3 linked regions of the Stegostoma tigrinum genome follow. The protein of the gene in region 1 interacts with the protein of each later gene in a biochemical or structural test. Links are inferred from orthologs where the notes say so. Each region holds a gene or a part of one and is shown in the gene's direction. Other genes may lie near its edges. The genes, in order: bmpr1ba, bone morphogenetic protein 2-like and gdf5.

Evidence for each region.
Region 2: the proteins of bmpr1ba (region 1) and bone morphogenetic protein 2-like form a complex in vitro, tested with the Homo sapiens proteins (3 studies listed by BioGRID and IntAct, with this or other methods). The link is inferred for Stegostoma tigrinum from reciprocal best matches to the Homo sapiens genes BMPR1B and BMP2.
Region 3: the proteins of bmpr1ba (region 1) and gdf5 interact in a biophysical measurement, tested with the Homo sapiens proteins (3 studies listed by BioGRID and IntAct, with this or other methods). The link is inferred for Stegostoma tigrinum from reciprocal best matches to the Homo sapiens genes BMPR1B and GDF5.

The regions. Positions count from the first base shown.
Region 1 is NC_081354.1:6,788,029-6,795,951, reverse strand, and holds the start of bmpr1ba (bone morphogenetic protein receptor type-1B), read left to right. Parts: upstream 1-4,567; 5' UTR 4,568-4,684; intron 4,685-7,923. UniProt on the Homo sapiens protein: On ligand binding, forms a receptor complex consisting of two type II and two type I transmembrane serine/threonine kinases.
Region 2 is NC_081362.1:10,208,204-10,215,916, reverse strand, and holds the start of bone morphogenetic protein 2-like, read left to right. Parts: upstream 1-4,582; 5' UTR 4,583-4,940; intron 4,941-6,769; exon of another isoform or gene 6,770-7,563; intron 7,564-7,713. UniProt on the Homo sapiens protein: Growth factor of the TGF-beta superfamily that plays essential roles in many developmental processes, including cardiogenesis, neurogenesis, and osteogenesis. Induces cartilage and bone formation.
Region 3 is NC_081372.1:8,448,324-8,455,897, reverse strand, and holds the start of gdf5 (growth/differentiation factor 5), read left to right. Parts: upstream 1-4,330; 5' UTR 4,331-4,393; intron 4,394-7,574. UniProt on the Homo sapiens protein: Growth factor involved in bone and cartilage formation. During cartilage development regulates differentiation of chondrogenic tissue through two pathways.

The DNA.
Region 1 (7,923 bases):
TTTACTGAACCAAATGTTTTATCCTGGTGAATGGAGGCAGTGACAAGCTCCTGTTGTTGTGCTTGATATTCATCATCAATTTGGTCACAAAAACCATGTTAGTGGTTCCTCTAGAAGTCGCTCTATGTCTCTGGCATAGCTTTGCCAGCCACAGGGAGTAGGAAACTCAGGAGAATGCCAAGTGTGAGGATTATCCCTGCTTTGGGCATCAGGGAAATACTTTATCTTTGTTCATGAAAATAGTTACATCTGTCACATTCCTGAAATCGATGGATGGTGGATGGAAGGTGGTAAGAGGCAGGAGGCCCTTTTCTCCTCCCAAATGGCAAACTAAACACTCTGATGTGAGGAGATGCCTACCGGTGTTGAAGGACTTTATCTTGTATAGCTTCAGACTGTCTGTGTAGAGTTTGCACATTCTCCCCGTGTCTGCGTGGGTTTCCTCCGGGTGCTCCGGTTTCCTCCCACAGTCCAAAGATGTGCAGGCTGGGTGGATTGGCCATGCTAAATGGCCCGTAGTTTTCAGAGTTGTGTAGATAAGGTGGGTTAGACATAACAAATGTAGGGGTAGGGGATTGGGTCTGGGTGGGACACTCTTCGGAGGGGTGGTGTGGACATGGTGGGCCGAATGGGCTGTTTTGACACTGTAGGGGCTCAATGATAGAGCATCATAGTCTCAGGCATTGTTGTCTGTACAGGCCTTTAAACGAGGCAGGAAGAGTTGAGAATAAAACAAAATAATGTGGATGCTAAAATCTGATATAAAAACAATAAATACTAGAGAAACTCAGCAGGTCTTGCAGAATCTGTGGAGAGAGAAACAGAATTGACGTTTTGATTCCCAAATGACTTCTTGAGGTGAGTTGAGCATCCTGTTTAAAATGACAGCCACAATCCTTGGCTTTATAATTAGAAGTACAGTGTGTGAAAGGATGGAAATTCAGCGAAACTGTCAAAAACGACTGAATGAGTTTCATCTGGAGTGTAGCAGCCCATTCTGGATATCACCCTTTAGGAATGACTAGGTCTTTGAGAGGGTTCAGAGAATATTAACGTAAATTTTTTCAAGCCTCAGGACATCCAAGTGTGTTTTACAGCAACCAAACATGTTTTAAGTGTCGTCGCAGTGATGATGTAGCAAACACAGCAGCCCATTTGTGACATAAAGCTCCCACAAGCAGTAATGTGATCACGAACAATCCATCTGTTTTTTCTGGAATTGACTGAGAGATAATTATTGGCCCAGAACATCAGGTAGAGCATTTATCAACCACTTTAAATGCAGCCATGGGATTCTTTCGTGATCATCTGAGAGGCCTCCGTTTCGTATCGCATCCGAAAGGCAGAATTCCTTCAGCACTGCACTGGGAAGTATCAGCCTGGACAATGTGCTAATTGCACTATGGTGAATGAGCAAACGAACACTGTAGAGTAATTTAGGAAACACTGAAGTTGAATATATTCAGAGATTTATAAGTTAACTATAAGGCACCTCAAATTACATCTGAGCAGTTTTTATTCCTTACTGGGACATGGGCAAGGCCGGTGTTTATTGCTCATCCACAACCACCCTTTAAACTGAACAACTTGTTTGACTTTCTTTCATGGGATGTAGGTGTCATTTGCAACTCCAGTATTTGTACTGTATCCATTTCCCCATGAATGGACTGGCTTTTTAGATCATTTCAGAGGGCAGTTAAGAGTCAACCACATTACTGGAATCAACTGTAGGCCAGGCCAGGTAAGGATGGCAGATTTCTTTTCCCTCAAGAACATTAAGGAATTTGTTGTTTTTATTTTTATAGCAATCAGTGTTAGTTTCATGGTTGCCATGACTGAAACTAACAACAAGTCAGATTATCAGGGAGGCAATGGCTCAGTTGTCTATTGGATTATTGCTGGATTATTGACCAAGAGATGCAGGCAATGTTCTGGGAACCCAGAAGGAAATCCTGCCACAGGAGATGGTGGAATGTGACTTCAATTAAAAAAGAAAATCTGGAATCAAAAGTCTAATGATGACCATGAATCCATTGTCAGGAGAACCCCATCTGGTTCACTGATGTCCTTTCATGAAGGAAACTGCCATCCTGACCTGGCCTGACCTACATGTGAAAACTGAAAGAACTGCGGATGCTGTATATCAAGACCAAAAACAGAAGTTGCTAGAAAAGCTCGGCAGGTCTGGCAGCATCTGTGAGAAAATATCAGAAGGTTCTGAGAAAGGGTCACCAGACCTGAAACATTAACTCTGATTTTTCTTCATAGATGCCGCCAGACCTGCTGAGATGTTCCAACTACTCCTGTTTTTGGACTATGTGTGACTCCAGACCCAGAGCAATGTGGTTGACTCTTAACTGCCCTCTGGGCAATTAGGGATGGCCAATACATACTGGCCTAGTCAGAGATGCCCTTATCCTGTGAATGAATAAAAAAAATTGAATTTTAAATGCCACAGCTGCCGTGGTGGGATTTGAACCCATGTACCTCAAAGTTTAGCGATAATGGGAACTGCTGATGCTGGAGAATCCAAGATAACAAAGTGTGAAGCTGGATGAACACAGCAGGCCAAGCAGCATCTCAAGAGCACAAAAGCTGCCGTTTCATGCCTAGACCCTTCATCAGAGAGGGGGATGGGGAGAGGGTTCTGGAATAAATAGGGAGAGAGGGGGAGGCGGACAGAAGATGGATAGAGGAGAAGATAGGTGGAGAGGCTTGTCCCCTCCCCCCACTGCATCCCAAAACCAGCCCAGCTCATCCCCACCTCCCTAACCTGTTCTTCCTCTCACCTATCCCCTCCTCCCACCTCAAGCCGCACCTCCATTTCCCACCTACTAACCTCATCCTGCCTCCTTGAACTGTCCGTCCTCCACGGACTGACCTATCACCTACTCACCTCCCCACCTCCCCACCTATACTCTCCTCTCCACCTATCTTCTCCTCTATCCATCTTCGGTCCGCCTCCCCCTCTCTCCCTATTTATTCCAGAACCCTCACCCCATCCCTCTCTCTGATGAAGGGTCTAGGCCCGAAACGTCAGCTTTTGTGCTCCTGACATGCTGCTTGGCCTGCTGTGTTCATCCAGCTTCACTCTTTGTTACCTCAAGGTTTAGACTGGATCTCTGATTCAGAGACTATGCTACCATCTCTCCTGAAAAAAAGGCTTTATATAATGTTTGGTCATTCCAGTCTGATCAGTTCTTGTCCTTATCCTGATCATCACCTGTACCAGTTAATATTATATCAGCCTTGTAGAGAACAGGGAGGAAAGGAAATCAAAGAAAATTGATTGATCTTCCAAGTGAGAGGCTGGAATAAGTCACCAAGTGTTTGATATTAGGATCTGGGAAATATAATGGTTGGAGAGACAGCAAACAACAAAATAGAGCAGAGTTTTGAAATAAAGGTTCCTATGGTTCTGCTTTCTCGTGTGAATTTGGCGAGGAATGATGGCAGGAGTAGGGAGAAGGAAGCTGAGTTTAAAACTGGTAGATTACTAACCAGCCCTGGTGACTCTGCACAATGAGCGTTCTGAATTTTAACTTAACCAATTGAACACTATGGTGAGGACATGGAGTCAACATCAGTGGACTCTTGAGTTCTGATGAAGAGTCATCGGGTTCAAGAGATTAACTCTGCTTTCTCACCACAGATGCTGCCAGACGTGTTGAGTTTCACCAGTGATTTCTGTTTTTATTTATAACAATCTCCCTGTTGTTATTTTTCTCATTCATTCAAGGGCTGTGGGTGTCACTGGCTGGCCAACATTTATTGTTCATCCCAGGTGCCCTCGAGAAGATGGGGGCAAGCGGCCTTCTTAAACTGCAGCAGTCCACTTTATAGTCATCAATCAATTGTGTTCAACAGCACAAAAAGAGGTCCTTTGGCCCATCATGTCTGCATCTATCATCAAATTTCAATCTATTCTAATCTTATTTTCCAGCATTTGGCCTTTAGCCTGTTTACTTTGATGTGACCTGCTAGCTTTCATATACATCTACCTTTGCTCCTTTTCTTTATTTGAGCATATTATCTTTAGATTTAGACTTTATCGTCATGTGTACATGTATAGGAGTATAGTGAAACATTTTCAATGTTGGCAAACACTGCATCATTTTAGTTATAAGTACCTAGGCACAAAAACCTTAGGACAAAGTAGAAACAAATAAAGAACAAAGTTACAAGTTAAACATTACAGTCACTCTTATCAGTTCCTTTTTAAATCATTGTGTCTCCAAAGATAGCAGTTGAGTTTCACCAAAACAATGTGGAAAAGGCTGTTATTTGAAGGGGAGTCACATTGACAAGGGTCCAATTCAGCCCCATTGCCGGAGATTGCCGAAGCGTGAGTGTTGAAACGAGAAGCCCCGGGAGCGAATTGCCTCCGGAGATTGCCGAAGCCCCGTGGTGCCGGAGATTGCCGACGTCTTGCTGCTGCTGAGAGCCTGGAGCCCGAGTCTCGTCTGTCAGTCATCGGAGACGCGCCGAAGGAGTGAGAGTCAAAAGTGGGGGAGGTGGAGGAAGGGAGGGAGGGGGGGTTGGTTTTAACCCATCAGTGCAAGCAACTTCTAGTGTTCCCGTGTGAAGTGGGAGCAAAGCAAGAAAGAAGCAATCAGCAGCGGCGAAAGATCATTGCCTGGGATTGAAGAAGGGCAAAAGGAGAGTGCTGGAGTTTCCAGTGAAGGTACCTGTGTGTGTGTGTTTAAATGTGCATATGTGAGACCTACAAACATATCTAAAAGTAAAAGGAGGCGCTCGTTCCCTACGCTCCTTCCAAATTTTATACGGGAGAATATTGCCACAAAATCCATTTGATGTTTTAAGAAAATACTACCAAAAATTAACAATGATAGTAATACTGTGGTGACGTTTGGAATGCATTCAGAGTATGAATATATCTTAAACCTCATGGATTGTGAGTAGGTTTTGAATTTATAATTTCGAAATACTGTTCAGTTTGAATGCTAAAACGCAGAGATTTTTAGGGCAAGTTGCACAACATCGTATCTTTGGGACCAAATTATCATTAGGAAGGATTTCACTCTTGTTGTCTTTATCCGATCTAAAGATGAACACCTAGATTAGTTCACTGAGTAGGAAGTTTTCAATTCGTATTGAGGGAAGTTTTTCTTCCTGTCTGTGAATCACGTTCTCTGTTCATTTTCTTCAGTGGAGAATGTTTATGACTGTACACGCTTGGTATTTCTGTGATACTTAATAAGTGGAGAAATTAGTCAGAACCATCATATCAAAAAAAACCAACTTGACGGAACAGCTCAGTTGGAAAGGAGTGCAAGAATTTTTTTCTGTCACCCCACATACTACACTATCAATGTATCAATGACTTATTCATATAAACTGCGTCAGAAGAAAATCAAGTATTGAATTTTTTTCACTTCATATACGGGAATAGTGTAATGTGATTGATGGACTTTTTTATATAGCATTAACTCATAAAACGCATCACAGGAACTGTCTAACTTTGTCTGACATACTGTTGTAATAATTCAAAAGTCAGTACTAAGTAATACACTTGTTGAAATAGCTTCTGTTGACTGAAATTGTAGCAGCCAAAAACCTCAATAGTTCCACTTTCAACTGTCGTCTGTATGTCCCTATGTACAATACTGTACTAGGGTTCCACTACAGGTCTTTCCTGCAATACATCTGATGGTACCAATAACATTATCAGGCCAAGACAACTTGGAAATAGATACAAAATCAGTAAAACTCTAGCAGGTTAATTGATAATTAAAATATTTTTGTAGCTGGTAGTTTCTTATCCTTTAGAAGAGTGCTAGAGTTGGAAGTGAGTAAAAAGAACAAAAAAGTTGTGAATGAACTATTGTCTACAGTATCCAGGGAACAAGCTATTCAAAAAAAAGTGACAGTTGTTTGGATTTTCTTTTTACAAGAGAATAGTAAATAACTGGGTGTAGCAGACACACGTTGGACGTCTGTTGATTGATGAAGACTGAGTTGTGTGGAATTATACAAATACTTGAGATTTACCATTCACGGCCATTGTGTCTTTTTTTTAGCACTTCTTATCCTGGTAATGCACCAAAACCAGTCATTTCCTGATTGTATTTTTAAAGATATCCATCTACAGCCAATTCCATCCATCTTCTTAGCTCTCTGTAAAAGGTCCCATGGGTTGCTTTCCCCCTGTGTAGTGGGATATTTTATCCATCTGGGAGGACAGACAGGGCTTTGGCTTAGCTTCATCTGAAATCAAGACTCTGACATGGCAATGCTCTGTTACTGCTGTATTGGGATATATAAGGTGAAATATTAATTTAATAAAAATCTGATACTATATGTATCAAAATTAAGAGAATTCTGGCCTTTTGTTACCGTTGTATTAGAGATATGCTTAGAGAAGTTATTACTTCAAATAATTGGATTGGAAATGTAAAATTCCACAGAAAAAACATGTCTTTTACCTTAGGAATTCTTTTCTGGAATGCACAAATATGCAGTACCAATTGCATTCTGTTTTAGCTCAAAGCATTAATCAACATTGACATTTCCTTGCAATCTATGTTGACTAACTCTGTTAGTCACACCTTTTGTATATTCACTAATCTTATTCCACATTGTAGTGTCTAGTATGTTATTTAGTATTGATATGAGTCTAATTGTTCAATAGTTACTTTCTTTTATCCTTTTCTGCCTTTGTGAATACTGTATAGTCTGGCTCCATGTGTTCTGGGTAAATCAGGCACACAAATTAAAGTTCATGCTACTTTCATGTAAAAAAAGTTACAATTGATCAGAAATTACCACAATAAATGAGCAGAGCCTGGAACAATACAGCACAGGAATGGGCCCTTCAGCCCATGATGTTGTGCCAAACATGATGCCAAGTTAAACTAATCCCTCTGCCTGCCCTTGGTCCATATCCCTCCATTCCTTACAATTTCATGTACTTATCTAAAAGTCCTTTAAATACCCCTATTGTATCTGGTTTTAGATGTGTACAGGAAGGTGATAGTATTGAAGGTAAGAATTCAGTATTCTTTTTCAATTAAAAATGTTCTGGCTTTCCCTACATAGAATTTTGAATGATTGCTTGTGAGTCTTTATTTTAGAAAAATGGCCTATGTGCAGAATGAATTTTATTTTCAATTGCACATTAGCAACTTTTGTTTGCTAATACTCTCAACGTCAATTTATTTAAGATTGCTAAGGCTGAATTGATATTTCGCAATCTATACTGGCATAGTTTGTCAATTGTTGCATTGTATCAGAGTGCCTTTGATTAAAATGAGACCTGATACCACATTTAGTCAATCTCCAAACATTAGTCTCCTGTTATGTGCATATATTCTCCCCATGGGTTGTACTTGATGTCTAACCCCCCTGCTTGTTGCTGATCCTTTTTAATGTGTTTTCTTTTACTGTTCAATCACATCCTTTCTGTACTTATATTGCAACTCTTAATTTCCATAAATAATTTCAAGTTGAGCTATTGCCAGTACTGTGTGTAATACAGGAGGGAAACAAATATTTAACTCAATTGTTATTATTTTTGCTTAAGGCTATTGATTCGAGTGATACCGGTGGTAATCTGGAGGGAGGTGAACAAGTATGATTGTTGCGGAAGTGATATCACTATGATAATGTCACTCCACTTAATGTAATCCAGCGCCTTGGGCTAATGTTCTGGGTACATAGAAGATAGTGAAATTTGAATTCACTAAGAATCTGGAATTGAACAAGCAAGTTAGTTTAATGGAAACTATGTAATCATTATTCATAAAAACCAAAAGAACTGTGGAAGCTGGAAATCAGAAACAATAACCGAAATTGTTGAGCAAGTTCAGCGTGTCTGAGGAAGGGTCACTGGACTCGAAACACTAGTTCTGATTTCTCTCCATAGATGCTGCCAGATTTGCAGAGCTTTTCCAGCAATTTCTG
Region 2 (7,713 bases), on another chromosome or scaffold:
TGAAAATACAGTTGAAGGTTTGAGCTGGCAAATATAGTTCACAGCATCTCATGGCTACTTAGCTAATAATTGTCTTTATCTTCAATGACACCCTTAACACCATAAACTTTTGTGCAAAAATTGATGTATTTCGAGTGACACCCTCAAGCATGCTGCATCACAAATAAGCTGTTTAATTTCAATGTGCACATGCTTTTCAGACATTATGATGATGCAGGAGTGCATGTCTGTAGCCAAAGGTGAGACGCTTTCGTATTAAAGTGGCTTTGAATTTGATCATATATTCTTTCAGCATGATACACCCAAGAGGTTTAAATTTCTTTTTGTCCCAATAAATATCCCGTGTTAAACTTTGTTTCAAGGTTCTTTTGTTTTAATTTGTACTAAAATAAAAATATTAGGCTGCATAGTTTCATTGTAAACTTGAATTCTGAATTTAAGTCTATTGATTATTGAAAGTGTTGTTGAAGCATTTTCAAACCGTGTGCTACAGTACAGCATTGTTGCCTAATGGGCTTAAATTTCAAAAATCATCTTTAGACCAGATTAAGGATACCCTGTATCCTGCATAATCCTATAACCTCACATACAGCTAATTGTACTTTACTGAGGCCTGGAAGGGTTGTACACTAAGTAGCTGTTTGCAAATCAAACTTAGTTCTTCATAAGTAATATAAAATATCATTTTAATTAGAGATTTGCTTTCATTTTTACATGGTTACCAGTAAATCTCCAAAAAATAAATTGCTGTTGTCAAATTTCTCCAAAGCAATTGAGTTGAAGTGGTGATCTAAATGGATAATATCCGGAAAATGCAATTTACAGACTAATAAAGCTGCTTCTGTGTTCTGGCTGGATTGAATCTCACCTCCTGCAACTTGCATTATCAGCTCGATCTGTGACTGAGATCAGTGGAACAGTTCAAAGCAACAATAAAAGTAATCTGCACCATAATAATTTTGATTAAAATTTGCTGTGTTGATCCTAGATAAGCAGCCTCTTAGCTGTCAGCATTTAGGGTTGTGATTTGTTGTCAAATTTAGACTTTACCTCTAGCATTTGGCAAAAACACCGAGCAACAGCAGCTGTTGCAGCTTCAAGAAGTGGACAGGCAAGATCTTGTTCCCTAGCTCCAACCATCACAAAGAGAGTAAGAAGCTGCAAATACCCAGTGTGGGGAAAGTAGCATCAACTCAATCAGATGTAGGGGAGTGTTATGATGGAGGAAGTTTCGCTTCCTGCTTGGAGAAACCAATGTATTCTGGCCTATGATGCTCACCAATGCCTTTTCCAAGGGCACATATATCACACATTTGCTTAGGCAATGAGTATATAGGATTAATGATGATGGAGGACATTATTGCAGTGCCTGATCATTGTTCGAAGCCTCATTATCTCTGTAGCCTCCTCCAATCTGGAAAGTCTCTGAAGAATCTGCCGTCCTCTTCATCTTTTCCTTCCATTACTCATTGTTGACGACAGTGACTTTCACCTTATGTTCTAGAATTCCCTCTCTCAACCTCCTTACCTCTTCTTTCCTTTGTGAAACTAACTGATTTTTTGTGAATCTGTTGGTTCTCAGTCAGAATGTCCCCTTCTTTGGTGTGGTGTGTCTGTTTTGATCTGCTTATGCTTTCCAGAAGCATCTCATGATGATTTACTGTGCGCAAAGTGTTATGTAAATACACAGCATTGTTGTTGGGTGGTGAGGGGCACCCAGTTATAGAGACATATAGTACGGAAACAGAACTTTATGTCCAACTACTCCATGCCTAACATAATTCCAAACTAAACTAGTCCCACCTGCCTGCATTTGGCCCATATCCCTCCAAACCTTTCCTATTCATGTACGTAATCCAAATGTCTTTTAAACGTTGCAATTGCAGTCATATCTACTTCCACAGGAAGTTCATTCCGCACAGGAACCACCGTCTGTGTAAAAAAAATTGTCCTCACATCTTTTCCAAATTTCTTTCCTCCCACGTTAAAAGTGTGTCCTCCTAGTTTTAAAATCCCACATGCCAGGGAAAAGACAACTGCTATGAACTCCACCTATACCCTTCTAATTTAGAAATTGTCTTCAAGTTGCCTCTCAACCTCCCAAGCTCCAGTGAAAAAGGTCCCAACTTATCCAGCAATTCTTCATAACTTAAACCTTGCTACTGAACATATACACACCATGGCCTGCTGTGTTCCTCCAGCTCCACACTGACACCAGCATTGGCAGTTCTTGCTATCTCTGAGTTATGTTGTTATAATCCTGCTTTATGCACTGGAGAACAATCGGGAAGGTGAATCACTTCCCATTCCTGGGCACACCATCTAATACACACCCCTAAAGGATGCAAGGTGAAGTACCATAGATAACGCATTACTGCTATTGACCAACCTATCAAGGAAAATTTTTGTAGGAAGATAGCAGCAAAATATGTCCCATTCCAAAGACCAAGATCAATGAAGAGAATTTCTGGGAAAAGGCTGAGTTTGATTTTCTAACTGGGTCCAATTTTAAAAACCCAACTTGAGTTTCAGGATTCAATGTAGGCAGCAAAAATATCTCTCCGTCCACATAAACTCATGGAATTTTCGGAGGGTTTCTGATAATTCCAATTCATCTCACTTATACAAGACCACAATATAATCTCGGTGTGTTCAAACAAAAAGTGACAACCAGTCAGCCTGCTCTCGAGAACGTTAACACTTCTCAGACAACGTTAACGTCCCTTAAATGGTCTTTCTGAAAGGGCACACGCACATCCGGCTAGATATGAAAACCACTTTGACCGCGCGTGGTCTTTTTTCTTTCTGTTTTAAACCTTGGTCCGGTGCTTCACTCCTTTCTCTTTGCAAGGTACCTGGGACTGGCTTCGTGACCAGAACCGCTGGGGAGCAGAGGAGGGCGCGTTTGCCCATTCAATCAGCGTCTGATGCACAAATGTTGCAAACTTGCAGCAGATCTGGATGTATCAGATATAATGGGAACTGCAGATGCTGGATGTATCAGATCACTCCTTAGATCCCTTTTCCTGAAAGCTCCCAGACCTGAAACGTTGACAGTTTCTCTCTCCGCGGCTACTGTCTGACCTGCTAGGCAGTTTTTGTGTTTGTGTATATCTTAGGTTTCCAGCGTCTGCAGTGTGGATTTTAGACTGTCCTTTCTGTCTCTCCGTCTTCTCCAAGGAGATTCCACTCTCTACCCACTCAATGAACAAGCAGTGGCGGCGGGCAAGTTGTCCGGGATATTTAAAACAGAAACTGAGAGCGGAACTCAACAAAGGCTTGTAAAGCGTTCTGGGGAGATTGATGAAAATTCGGGTTAAGAATAAGGGGCAGTTTCTCCAGCCAGCTTTCTAAGCAAAAAAAATCAACAGGACAACTTAGAAAGCACGTAAGGAAGAGGAGACAAAATAGAGAAATGAGGCATTTAAACTAAAGCGGACAAGGAGAGAGGGGGAATCAGAACACATGTATGTTGTACCCGTGTCTGGAATGAGATAGATCAGATGGTGGGGTGCTGGGGGGGGGGTGGGTGGTGGAGAAGGGGCGCAATTGGATGTTACGGCTGAATTGGGATCTTTTGGATCTGTCACGGTGCACAGAGGTGAGGTATGAATTAACAGGGCTATAAATAAGACTAATAAATAGCTCTATTAATCCCAATGCATGTTCTCTCTGGGCGCTCCCGGGAGATGTCTAATGCACACGTACGTATGTGTTGACGAATGTTGACTGAATTATAAAACGACCGGGTATTCACAACGTCAGAAATAAAACAAAAATCGGGAAATACACACAGCGGAATTTGTTGGAGAAACTCAGCAGGTCTGAACAAGGGTCACCAGACTTGAAACGTTAACTCAACTTTCTCTCTCCAGAGATGCTGAAGAAGGGTCCCGACACAAGACGTCAGTGTTCCTGCTCCTCTGATGCTGCCCGGCCTGCTGCGTGTCTCCAGCTCCACACTGCGTTATCTCTGACTCCAGGATCTGCAGTTCTGACTGTCCCTGCCGGACCTGCTTGAGCTTCTCCAGCCATTTGTGGTTGTGTGTAACCCATAACATCAGTCCGCCTGCCATCGGTATTATGGATTAGTGTGTATGTTATGAATTTGGTGTGTGCATTGAGGATTGCCATGTGTGTTAAGGATTTTACGTGCGTATTGTGGTTTCGCTGTCACACAGCGATTTCAATCTCTCGGTGGGGTTTTACATATTTGTCCCGACGTTTGTGAACTGGACCTTGTTGAAAATTCTGATAGCTGGCGGTAAATGCATATACCCCTTACCCCACTCGGATGTCTGAGGAGTGCGGTGATAATGGGAGCTGAGGAGTGCAGTGATAATGGGAGCTGAGGAGAGCAGTTTTGTTTAAAGCAACAGTTCTCTCTTTCTGTCTGACGGAGAAACTCTATGACAGTATGTAGGAAGTTCTCTGTGTCACAGACACAGCATCAGTCAACCTGTTTACACTCTTAAACAGAACCTTGTTTTTCTAAAAAAAATACAAAAATCCACTGTGATGTAATGACGTTAGATGAAGATCGTCTCTGAAATGAATGAGTCACTTCATATCTGTAAACATTCCCAATGCCAGCCACAATGCCGAATCACTAAAGGGGAGTGAGTGAGTGAGTGAGAGAGAGAGAAGAGTGAGAGAGAGAGAGTGAGTGAGTGAGAGAGAGCCCTCACATGAGCGACTGTGAAGTCATTCACTCGGAAGAACTGACTTGCTGCGAGATGCTTTAAATCGGGCGCCCGGAGCCTCATCTCGCGTTTCGTTTCACACATGCAAAGATTAACTTCTGGTCTCTCCGGGATTGCTCACTCAGTGAAATGATTCGCCTTTCCTTCCCGTTCGGCACTTTTTCATCAAATCCCGCTGACAGGAGCAGCCGGGTTTTGGGGTGCAGCAGCGTGGTCTAATGCAACATTCTCCATCAGGTAAAGGGGAGTGGGAAGATCTGAAATTTCACTCATTTGGTCATTTGAGTCGTTCAACTGCAGCGAGCCAATTGCTGCTTTTGATTAGAGGGTGCAAGATTTATTTGATAAACTTACAATTACTCTTAACCTTTATTTCGTCCCTAGTACATCCTTTGTTTTTACTTGATTTTATTTTTCATACAGCACACACATCTTTTCATCCCTAATACACAGCCATGTCCCAGAATCGTTACTACATTCTCTCTTGTCATACACATGTTCTGCCGCCGGTTTTAAATTTCCTTCTCTCTCTCTTTCACTTTATCTTGATCTTAGACTGCCTCTTCCCACTGTGCACGGCGTCACACCTGTACGGTCTGTATTGTTTTTAAAACTTTTGTTTTCGATATATTGATGGTTTAAAGTTGTAAATTGAAGTGGTTGTTGCGTGTGTGTGTCGGAGGGGAGGGAAGTCACGGGGGTGGGGGGAGGTGAGTGTTGTGAGGGGGAGGAGGGAGCTGATTCCGATCTGTGCTGAGCCGAGTTTCAGGATGATTTTACTTCTCTCTCTCTCTCTCTCTCTCTCGCGTTCCGAGAGAGTTGTACAAAGAAGCCGTTGTAAAAGCAAGCTGGAAATTCAACCCTCTGGCCTTTTGCTGTGTTGACCAGGAGTTGGCGCTCTGGGCTCTCTCTCTCTCTCTCTTTGTCGAACATATATCAGACCCAAAATCTTGTTTCGTTCAGGGGGTGTTGGGGGAGGCAAGACATCCCAAAGCGAGTGGCAAGTGCTTTTCCAACATTGCATCCCTGAGTGACCTCTCTTCTTGAAATCCTCACTGAGGGAACCAAACCAGAACAAAACAGCCGAAGAATAGAAGTCTGAGCTAAACTCTCAGACTTTGGTCCTGTCACCGAGGGGAAAGCGCACCGTTCTCAATTTCCCGACACCCCACCCCCACCCCTCCCTCACCACTCCCCCCCCCCCCAACCCTCTGGGGATGAATGGAACCTCCTATAACGTGTGGATTTCTGAGAGCCCAGCCGTGTCTGTCCCAGCGTGAGTTCCCAATCCCATTGCTGTGAGCGCCGAGATGATATCTCGGCATGAACAAGAGTAAATAAACCTCACACGTACTGCAGAGAGGCTTCTGAATTCTGGATCGCCTTAAGAAGTGTTCCTCGGATCTTTTTATTTGTGGGGAGGGGAGCGCGGAATGGACAGTTCAGAATTCAATTAATTGCGATGACTTCTCCCGCCCCAAACCCCCACCCCTCACAAGCAGAACCCAACTATGTTATCAACGGGATCTGGCCTTTCGAATGACCGACCCCATTGATCGGTAGATTTGGTTTGGATAAACACCGGGGTCAGAAAGCGCGCTGGACTGGGCCAGTCTGGAGGGCGTTGGGTGGGGTGGGGGCTGCGATGGTGTCTATGTATGTGTGAAAGGATATTTTAAAGAGGCGCGTGTGGCTAACAAAAAAAATGGCATTTATATTTTGCTGCGCTGAGTTGCCATTTCTCTATCCCACCAAGCCTCCCCCACCCACCCACCCACCCATACACACACACACACACACACACACCAAAAAATAAAACATAAAATCACGCAACGTCCAATCTGCTGCCCCGGCGTTAATCCTCTTGGCAGAGAAATGTTTTGTGCTATTCCACCCCCAACCCAAGTCAAAGATTCAAACTCTTGCTCTGATCTCAATGTCGAGATTGTGACAGGAATCAATTATCGCATTTGATTGGCATCAAGCGTCATTGACGTGACATCAGCCGGCAAGCAGATCGTATATATATAAAGCCGCTTTCAATTACTTATGCAGCAGAAGCGGGAATCAGCGTTTTAAACAAAAACCTTACTGAATATATATATATATATATATGTATATATATGAAACCCTTCACTCACTCTAGATTGTGTGTTTGTTGTGTGTGACTGTATATATGTATATATAAATATATATGGGCCACTGTGTTAAGAAATGATGGACTTTCCTATAGCGCTCATTGCCCGGGGCTTTGTGAGTGAACCGGACGATTTGCTTGGACTCCGTCGCCGTTTTCGGGTGTATTTTCGACACAGAGATCTGAAAGCAATGTTCTGACCCCCTCTTCGCCTGCTGTTGATGGGCGTGAAGGGCTGCACTGCCCTCTGGAGAGCTTCCCAACACCCGGGCAAGGGAGGAAGAGAGCGAAAGTGTGGAATAAGCAGCGAGCAAATGCGGGGCACAGGGAAGAGCAGAGAGGAACTGGTTCGATTCCTGGTCCCTGGACGGGAATAGCTCGGCGGAGTCCCGCGGCGGTGCTAGACTCAGAAGGGATAAACCGAGACGAGGGTCAGAGAGGGAACCGAACTCACCTCCTTCCTACCAACAACCCTCCCTCCCTTTTTTCTGGATGTAACAAAAAAAAAGCAGCCGCGGTGAAGAGACAAATAATCGCCTGAACTTTTCCTCTCCCGCCTCTCAAAACCAGATGCTCCGGCGCCTCGATTTGCGGGAGGGGGGGACCAGAGTGAACCGGGGACGGGGCTAGCGAAGGGCGGCAGCGCCCGCGGACCGAGTCGGAGCTGCCCGCGTTTGAATGGACCGCTGCTTTCTCTGAGCGGGGCGCCTGTTCAAGGGAAAGGTAACGCGGGCACAGGAGCAAGTGTGTGTGTGTGTGTGTGTGTGTGTGTGTGTGTGAGTGAGTGCATGCATTCTGCTACAGCCTAACCCAGGACTCAGGAAAGAGACAGAGCACCTGTATACGTCTGCTGTCCATCCAGACAACCCCCAC
Region 3 (7,574 bases), on another chromosome or scaffold:
ATGATTTGCCAGCCTACATTGAAGCAAATTAACATGATTATAGACACTACAGTGATATGGAAAGGATAACAAAGTGTGGAGCTGGATGAACACAGCAGGCCAAGCAGTTAGATGCTGCTTGGCCTGCTGTGTTCATCCAGCTCCACACTTTGTTATCTTGGATTCTACAGCATCTGCAGTTCCCATTATCATTGATATGGAAAGGACTGGGTGCTCGATGTTGAAGATAAGTGGCATTCAAGAATACAAAGCTAAATAAAGATGGAGAGGTGGTAGTGTTAATTAAGACTTGCATTGGTGTAATTATCAGAGAGGACCTTATTTCAGGAAGTCAGGATATAGAATCAGTTCAGTTGGAGATGAGGGATATTGCGGAAAAGAGTCACGAGTCGGAGTGGCCCAGGTCTCTTCACAATGATCATGATGTAATATACAAGAAGGAACACTGTGTTCTTGTGATGCAGTTTCACTGAGAATCACAGGAGGTTTTAATATACATAATACACCAGAAAAAAATCAGTGTGGCCATCTGGGATTTACAGGTTGCTTTTGGAGAATTGAACCACATTTGCAATGGATCACCGTGGATCTTAACAGGCGATAGTAGTGTGCAGTGTCAGCAGGCTGGTAACCAAGCCCTCAAGCCTGCAGAGACATGTGTGCAACCAACCAAGCGATAGTAAGAATTGCCAATGCTAGACTCAGAGATAACACAGAGTGGAGCTGATGAACACAGCAGCCCAGGCAGCATCAGAGGAGCAGGAAAGCTAACGTTTTGGGTCAGAACTCTTTTTGAAGCTGAAGAAGGGTCCTGACCCAAAATGTCAACTTTCCTGCTCCTGTGAAGTTGCCTGGCCTGCTGTGTTCATACAGCTCTACACTGTGCAATTAACTAAGCCTCATTAGCTGTGAGACCTGTGATCAAATTTTACTGACCCTTGCTTTGACAATTAACAATTCATATCACTCAGTAGTAATTGGGTGCTGGTCATCACTTGCTCAACTGATTGACTGGCTCACAACTTCAACTAAAATTTCATTTTGACTTGAGTGCTTTCTGTTTTCTCAATTGCCAGCACTATGCTTATACCTTGGCTACATTCTGGTTCTAGAAAAGGTCTTTAACCAGTGAGAGCACAACAAAAACAGTCTGAACTTGAGTTCGGGGTGTCCCCAGACAGCAGCAACGGACAATGCCCTCAGTATCCTTGTCAATCCTGACAGGAGATCTAAATAAGAAAAACAAACTGGAACAGGACACTGCCACCTACACACTCCACATTCAGGCCCCATTCCAGAGGCTTGAGTACAGAATCTAGCTGAAACTTTAATGTGGTACTGAGGGCATGCTGTACGTTTGGCTGGTGTAGCTTAATGCTACACCAAACTCATAACTAAGGCATCAGTTGTAAAAAATAGGTCAGCATTGGCCAAAGAAGTGATGGGGAGTTCTTCCTGGTGCCCTGACCAATATTTAATCCTCCAACAGTTTCGCAGAAACAGAAAATCAGGTCATCATCATAGAGTAATACAGCATGGAAACAGACCCTTCGGTCCAAACACTCCAAGGCTGTCAGTAATTCCAAACCAAACTAGCCCCAGCTGCCTGTGCCTGGCCCATATCCCTCCAAACATTTCTTATTCATGCAATTGTAACTCAAACCCCTCATTCCCATCAGCATCCTGGTAAATCTCTTCTGAACCCTCTCCAGTTTATTAATGTCCTTCCCACAAGTGGGCAGCCAGAACTGGACACAATATTCCAGAAGAGGCCTCACCAACATCCTGTACAACCTGAACGTGACATCCCATCTCCTGTACTCAAATGTCTGAACGATGAATGCAAGTGTGCTAAATTTCTTCTTAACCATCCTGTCTGTATGCAAAGCAAAGTTCAAAGAATTATGTACCTGAGCCCCCAAGGTCTCTGTTCTACACAACGCTCTACTTTTAGTTGTATAAGCCCTGTCCTTGTTTGTCTCACCAAAATGCAAAACCTTACATTTATCCAAATTAAACTCCACCTGCCACTCCATAACCCGCCGACCCAATTGATCAAGATCTCTTTGTACTCGTAGATAACGCTCTTCCCTGTCTACTGAACCCCCAATTTTGGTGTCATCCACAAATTTAATGAGTATGCCTCCTTACATTCTGATCTAAATCATTTATATAAATGATTACTTGATTGTCTGTGGGAGCCTTCTGTGAGCAAATTGGCTGCTGTGTTTTCTACATTATGTTACGCTACCGTGAAATAATCTATTAGCCGTAACGACGTCTGAGATGTTCAGAGGCTCGGAAAAGTGCTATTGAAATGCAAACCCTTTTCTTTCTGTAGAATAGACTGTTAGACAGAGAGAGGGTGTATGATGATCTGGGATAAAATGTTCAACAGAAGGTCTAAGGGTGACATTAAACGTTATACAAGCAAATATCTGCAGATGCTGGAAATTTGAAAGTAAAATATCAAATGCAGAAACATTTGGCAGCAATCTGGCAGCAATGGTGGAGAGAGAAGCAAGAATAATGTGACAGGCTGGGTGTATTTAAATGGTCATTGGATAAACATATGGATGATAATGGGATAGTGTAGGTTAGATGGGCTTCAGATTGGTTTCACAGGGCGGCACAACATTGAGGGCCGAAGGGCCTGTGCTGCACCGTAATGTTCTATGTTCCATATCTACTGGAGTTGAGAAGAATGAGAAATGATCTAATTGAAAACATATAAGGCCCTGAGGGGACTTGACAGGGTGAATACTGAGAGGATCAGAAACAGAAACAAAAAAATTCTGGGGAAACTCAGCAAGTCAGGAGCATCCATGGGCAGAAATCAGAGTTAATGTTTCAGGTCCATTTCCTCAGAATGGTTCTGTTTTTCTGCTTTCTCTCTACAGATGCTGCCAGACCAGCTTGGTTTTCCCAACCATTTCTGTTACTGATTTCCAGCATCTGCAGTTCTTTTGCTGTTTTTGTTTGATATTGAGAGGAGGATTCCCCCTTGTGATGTAGACTAGAACCAAGGACCCTCCAAGTTAAGAGGGAGATGAGGAGGAATTTGTTACCTCAGAGTCATCAGTCTTTGGAACTCTTCCACAGAGGTAGTTAAAGGGAGTGATTGAATATTTTTAAAGAAAGATTTAGATAAATTCTTGATATTAAGGGATTCTAAGGATGTGGGAGTAGGAGTTAAGGGTGGGGGTGAAGTCAGTTGGAAGAGAAATCAGTGTCAATGTCACAAACAGAATAACCATGATTCTATCAAATGCAAGAGTAGGCTTGAGGGGCTGAATGGTCTCCTCTGAATTTGTATATTGCTATACAAAGTAACCATAGGCCCAGAGGGCTTCTTATTAGAGAGAGAGAAGGAGAGGTCTGGTGCTCATTTAATCTGAGGGTCACCATGTGTCAGGGTGAGGGAGGAGGTGGAGAAGGAGAGTCCTTCATGGTAACCTCAAGCTCTGTAGGAATTGAACCCATGCTTTTGTTTCTATTGCAAATCAGCCTTCCAACTAACTGAGCTCAGCCGCAGGTCTGCAACCTTACACCAGAATTGAGAAATCGTAAGAATCACCAAATCATAAAAGATCAAGGTCCATGTTGTTCACAGTCTGCCTTCCTGGTGTGCACAGATTGCATGTTAGTGGTCTAATTGGAAAGAGTACAGAAGACGTTTACAAGAATTGTTCCAGAGATGAGAGACTCAGTGATGACGAAAGTTTGGATGGGTTGGGGCTGTTTCCCTCGGAGAGTTGAAACTGAGTTGCCAAAATAGGGGTGATGCAGTGGCTCAATGGTTAACACTGCTGCTTCACAGCACCAGGGACCCGGGTTCAATCCCACACTTGGGTGACTCTCTGTGTGAAGTTTGCCTGTTCTCCCCTCGTCAGCATGGATTTCCACCCAAAATCCAAAGATATACAGGGTAGATGGCTTGGCCATGGGAAATGCAGAGTAACAGGGAGGGGTAGGTCTGGGTGGGATGCTCATTTGAGGCTTGGTGAAGACACGATGGGCCAAATAGCCTGCTTCCACGCATTATATTCTATGATTCTAATGATGCTCATTTGGAGAACTAGTGGATGGGCTGTGTAGCCCCCTTGTGCACCATAGCATATCAGTGAATCTGTGACCCACAAACCTGTGATGGGGATGTGAGAGGGTGAATGTTACCAACTGAGCCTGGTTAGCACTGACTGCTGAGTCACTGGGGTGCGAGCACTAACTATTCACACTCGTCGATCAAACTTATCTTGCAAATAAACAAAATAATTCATTTGAATATGATGTAGTGGCAACTCACTTTATACACAAATACTAACACGCACAGTCTCAGGCCACTCACATACAGGAGGTCACTGCATTGAGACTTGACTATATTCTATCCCAGGTAAGAAAGAGGTTAATAATTGAATGCTTCAAACAGTAATTTCTATGATACACAAGGGAAATATTTAGCTCATCCCGAAATTCCAGCTTATTTGCTTGAAATGTTCCAGCAACCTTTAATTGTGTAAACGTGTTTTCCAATAAATGACTCAGATTGTGCTCCATCAGGTGAGAGCAGGGTAGGGTTTGGATATTCAGAGTAGTAGTGGTTAACTTTTTGTTTCAGCTTCTACCTGTCAGCAGTGTGCTAGACTTCCACAAGAGTTTCTTTTTCTAAATCCAAAAGTGAATTTCCGCTTTTTTAGTTTGATTCTTTGCTTTTTTCCCCCCTTTGTGTGTGTGTGTGTGTGTGTGTGTGTGTGTGTGTGTGTGTGTGTGTGTCTGTGTGTGTCTGTGTGTGTGTGTGTGTGTGTGTGTGTGTGTGTGTGTGTCTGACAGAGTGAAGTTTCACCACCTCAACATTTCTCAGGGTGACATTTTGAACTGAAAGGAAAAGTTCTGATAGGTCATGCTGCAAATACATTACAAAAGTTCAGTAAATGTTTCTGAAAGTTGCAGCAAAGCAAGTTGAGAGAGATGGGGGAGGATTGAGGCACAGAATAAGAGGGAGGAAGTGAGGCAGAGATAGGCATAGACAGAGAGAAGTTGGGGCATGCAGGAGAGGGGAAATGAGAAAGGGGGTGAGGGGGAGAGTGAGAACAGAGGGGTGAGGGTGAGAGTGGGAATGGCGATAAAGTGGAGGGGAGCTGGAGGAGGGAAAGGAGAGAGGGTAGAGGAGAAGGGGAGGAGAGACGGGGCATGAGTAAGTAGTGCAAAAGACAGAAGGGATGGGTGGGAGAAAATGGAATTGGTGAGAGTGAAAGGGATGGAGAAGGCAGAGTGTGGTGGAGATGGGAAAGATGGAGTTTAATTTAGATAAATGTGAGGTATTGCATTTGGTAAGACAAACTGGCAGGACTTACACAGTTAATGGCAGGGCAGTGTAGAGTGTTGTCAAACTGAGGGACCTAGAGGTGCAGGTCCATAGTTCCTTAAAAGTGGCATCACCAGGGAAACAGGGTGGTGAAGAACATATTTAGCACGCTTGTCTTCATTGGTCACAACATTTGACTGTCATTGGGACATCATGTTACAGCTGTACATGACATTGGTAAGGCCACATTTGGAGTACTGTGTACAATTAGATCACCCTGCTATTGGAAGGATGTTATTAAGCTGGAAAGAGTATGAAAAGATTTACAAGGATGTTACTGAGACTTGGAGGGTTTGAGTTATAAGGAAAGGATCGACAGTCTGGGACCTTTCTCCCTGGAACATAGGCAGCTGAAGTGCAACCTTATAGAGGTATATAAAATCATGACGGGCATAGATAAGGTGAATAGTCAAAGTCTTTTTCCCAGGGTAGGGGAGTCCAAAACTAGAGGGCACAGGTTTAAGGAGAGCGGGGAAAGATTTCAAAGGGACTTGAGGGGCAATCTTGTCACGCTGAGGCTGGTGTGTGCATGGACTGAACTGCCAGAGGAAGTGGTGGAGGTTGGTACAATTATAACATTTAGTAAACATTTGGACAGGTATATGAAAGATAATAAAATGTGAGGCTGGATGAACACAGCAGGCCAAGCAGCATCTCAGGAGCTCAAAAGCTGACGTTTCGGGCCTAGACCCTTCATCAGAGAGGGGGATGGGGAGAGGGAACTGGAATAAATAGGGAGAGAGGGGGAGGCGGACCGAAGATGGAGAGTAAAGAAGATAGGTGGGGAGGTAGGGAGGGGATAGGTCAGTCCAGGGAAGACGGACAGGTCAAGGAGGTGGGATGAGGTTAGTAGGTAGCTGGGGGTGCGGCTTGGGGTGGGAGGAAGGGATGGGTGAGAGGAAGAACCGGTTAGGGAGGCAGAGACAGGTTGGACTGGTTTTGGGATGCAGTGGGTGGGGGGGAAGAGCTGGGCTGGTTGTGTGGTGCAGTCGGGGGAGAGGACGAACTAGGCTGGTTTAGGGATGCAGTAGGGGAAGGGGAGATTTTGAAACTGGTGAAGTCCACATTGATACCATATGGCTGCAGGGTTCCCAGGCGGAATATGAGTTGCTGTTCCTGCAACCTTCGGGTGGCATCATTGTGGCAGTGCAGGAGGCCCATGATGGACATGTCATCTAGAGAATGGGAGGGGGAGTGGAAATGGTTTGCGACTGGGAGGTGCAGTTGTTTGTTGCGAACTGAGCGGAGGTGTTCTGCAAAGCTGTCCCCAAGCCTCAGCTTGGTTTCCCCAATGTAGAGGAAGCCGCACTGGGTACAGTGGATGCAGTATACCACATTGGCAGATGTGCAGGTGAACCTCTGCTTAATGTGGAATGTCATCTTGGGGCCTGGGATAGGGGTGAGGGAGGAGGTGTGGGGACAAGTGTAGCATTTCCTGCGGTTGCAGGGGAAGGTGCCGGGTGTGGTGGGGTTGGAGGGCAGTGTGGAGCGAACAAGGGAGTCACGGAGAGAGTGGTCTCTCCGGAAAGCAGACAAGGGAGGGGATGGAAAAATGTCTTGGGTGGTGGGGTCGGATTGTAAATGGCGGAAGTGTCGGAGGATGATGCGTTGTATCCGGAGGTTGGTAGGGTGGTGTGTGAGAACGAGGGGGATCCTCTTAGGGCGGCTGTGGCGGGGGCGGGGTGTGAGGGATGTGTTGCGGGAAATACGGGAGACGCGATCAAGGGCGTTCTCGATAACTGTGGGGGGAAAGTTGCGGTCCTTAAAGAACTTGGACATCTGGGATGTGCGGGAGTGGAATGTCTTATCGTGGGAGCAGATGCAGCGGAGGCGGAGGAATTGGGAATAGGGGATGGAATTTTTGCAGGAGGGTGGGTGGGAGGAGGTGTATTCTAGGTAGCTGTGGGAGTCGGTGTGCTTGAAATGGACATCAGTTACAAGCTGGTTGCCTGAGATGGAGACTGAGAGGTCCAGGAAGGTGAGGGATGTGCTGGAGATGGCCCAGGTGAACTGAAGGTTGGGGTGGAAGGTGTTGGTGAAGTGGATGAACTGTTCGAGCTCCTCTGGGGAGCAAGAGGCGGCGCCGATACCGTCATCAATGTACCGGAGGAAGAGGTGGGGTTTGGGGCCTGTGTAGGTGCGGAAGAGGGACTGTTCCACATAACCTACAGAGAGAACGCCCTTGACCGCGTCTCCCGTATTTCCCGCA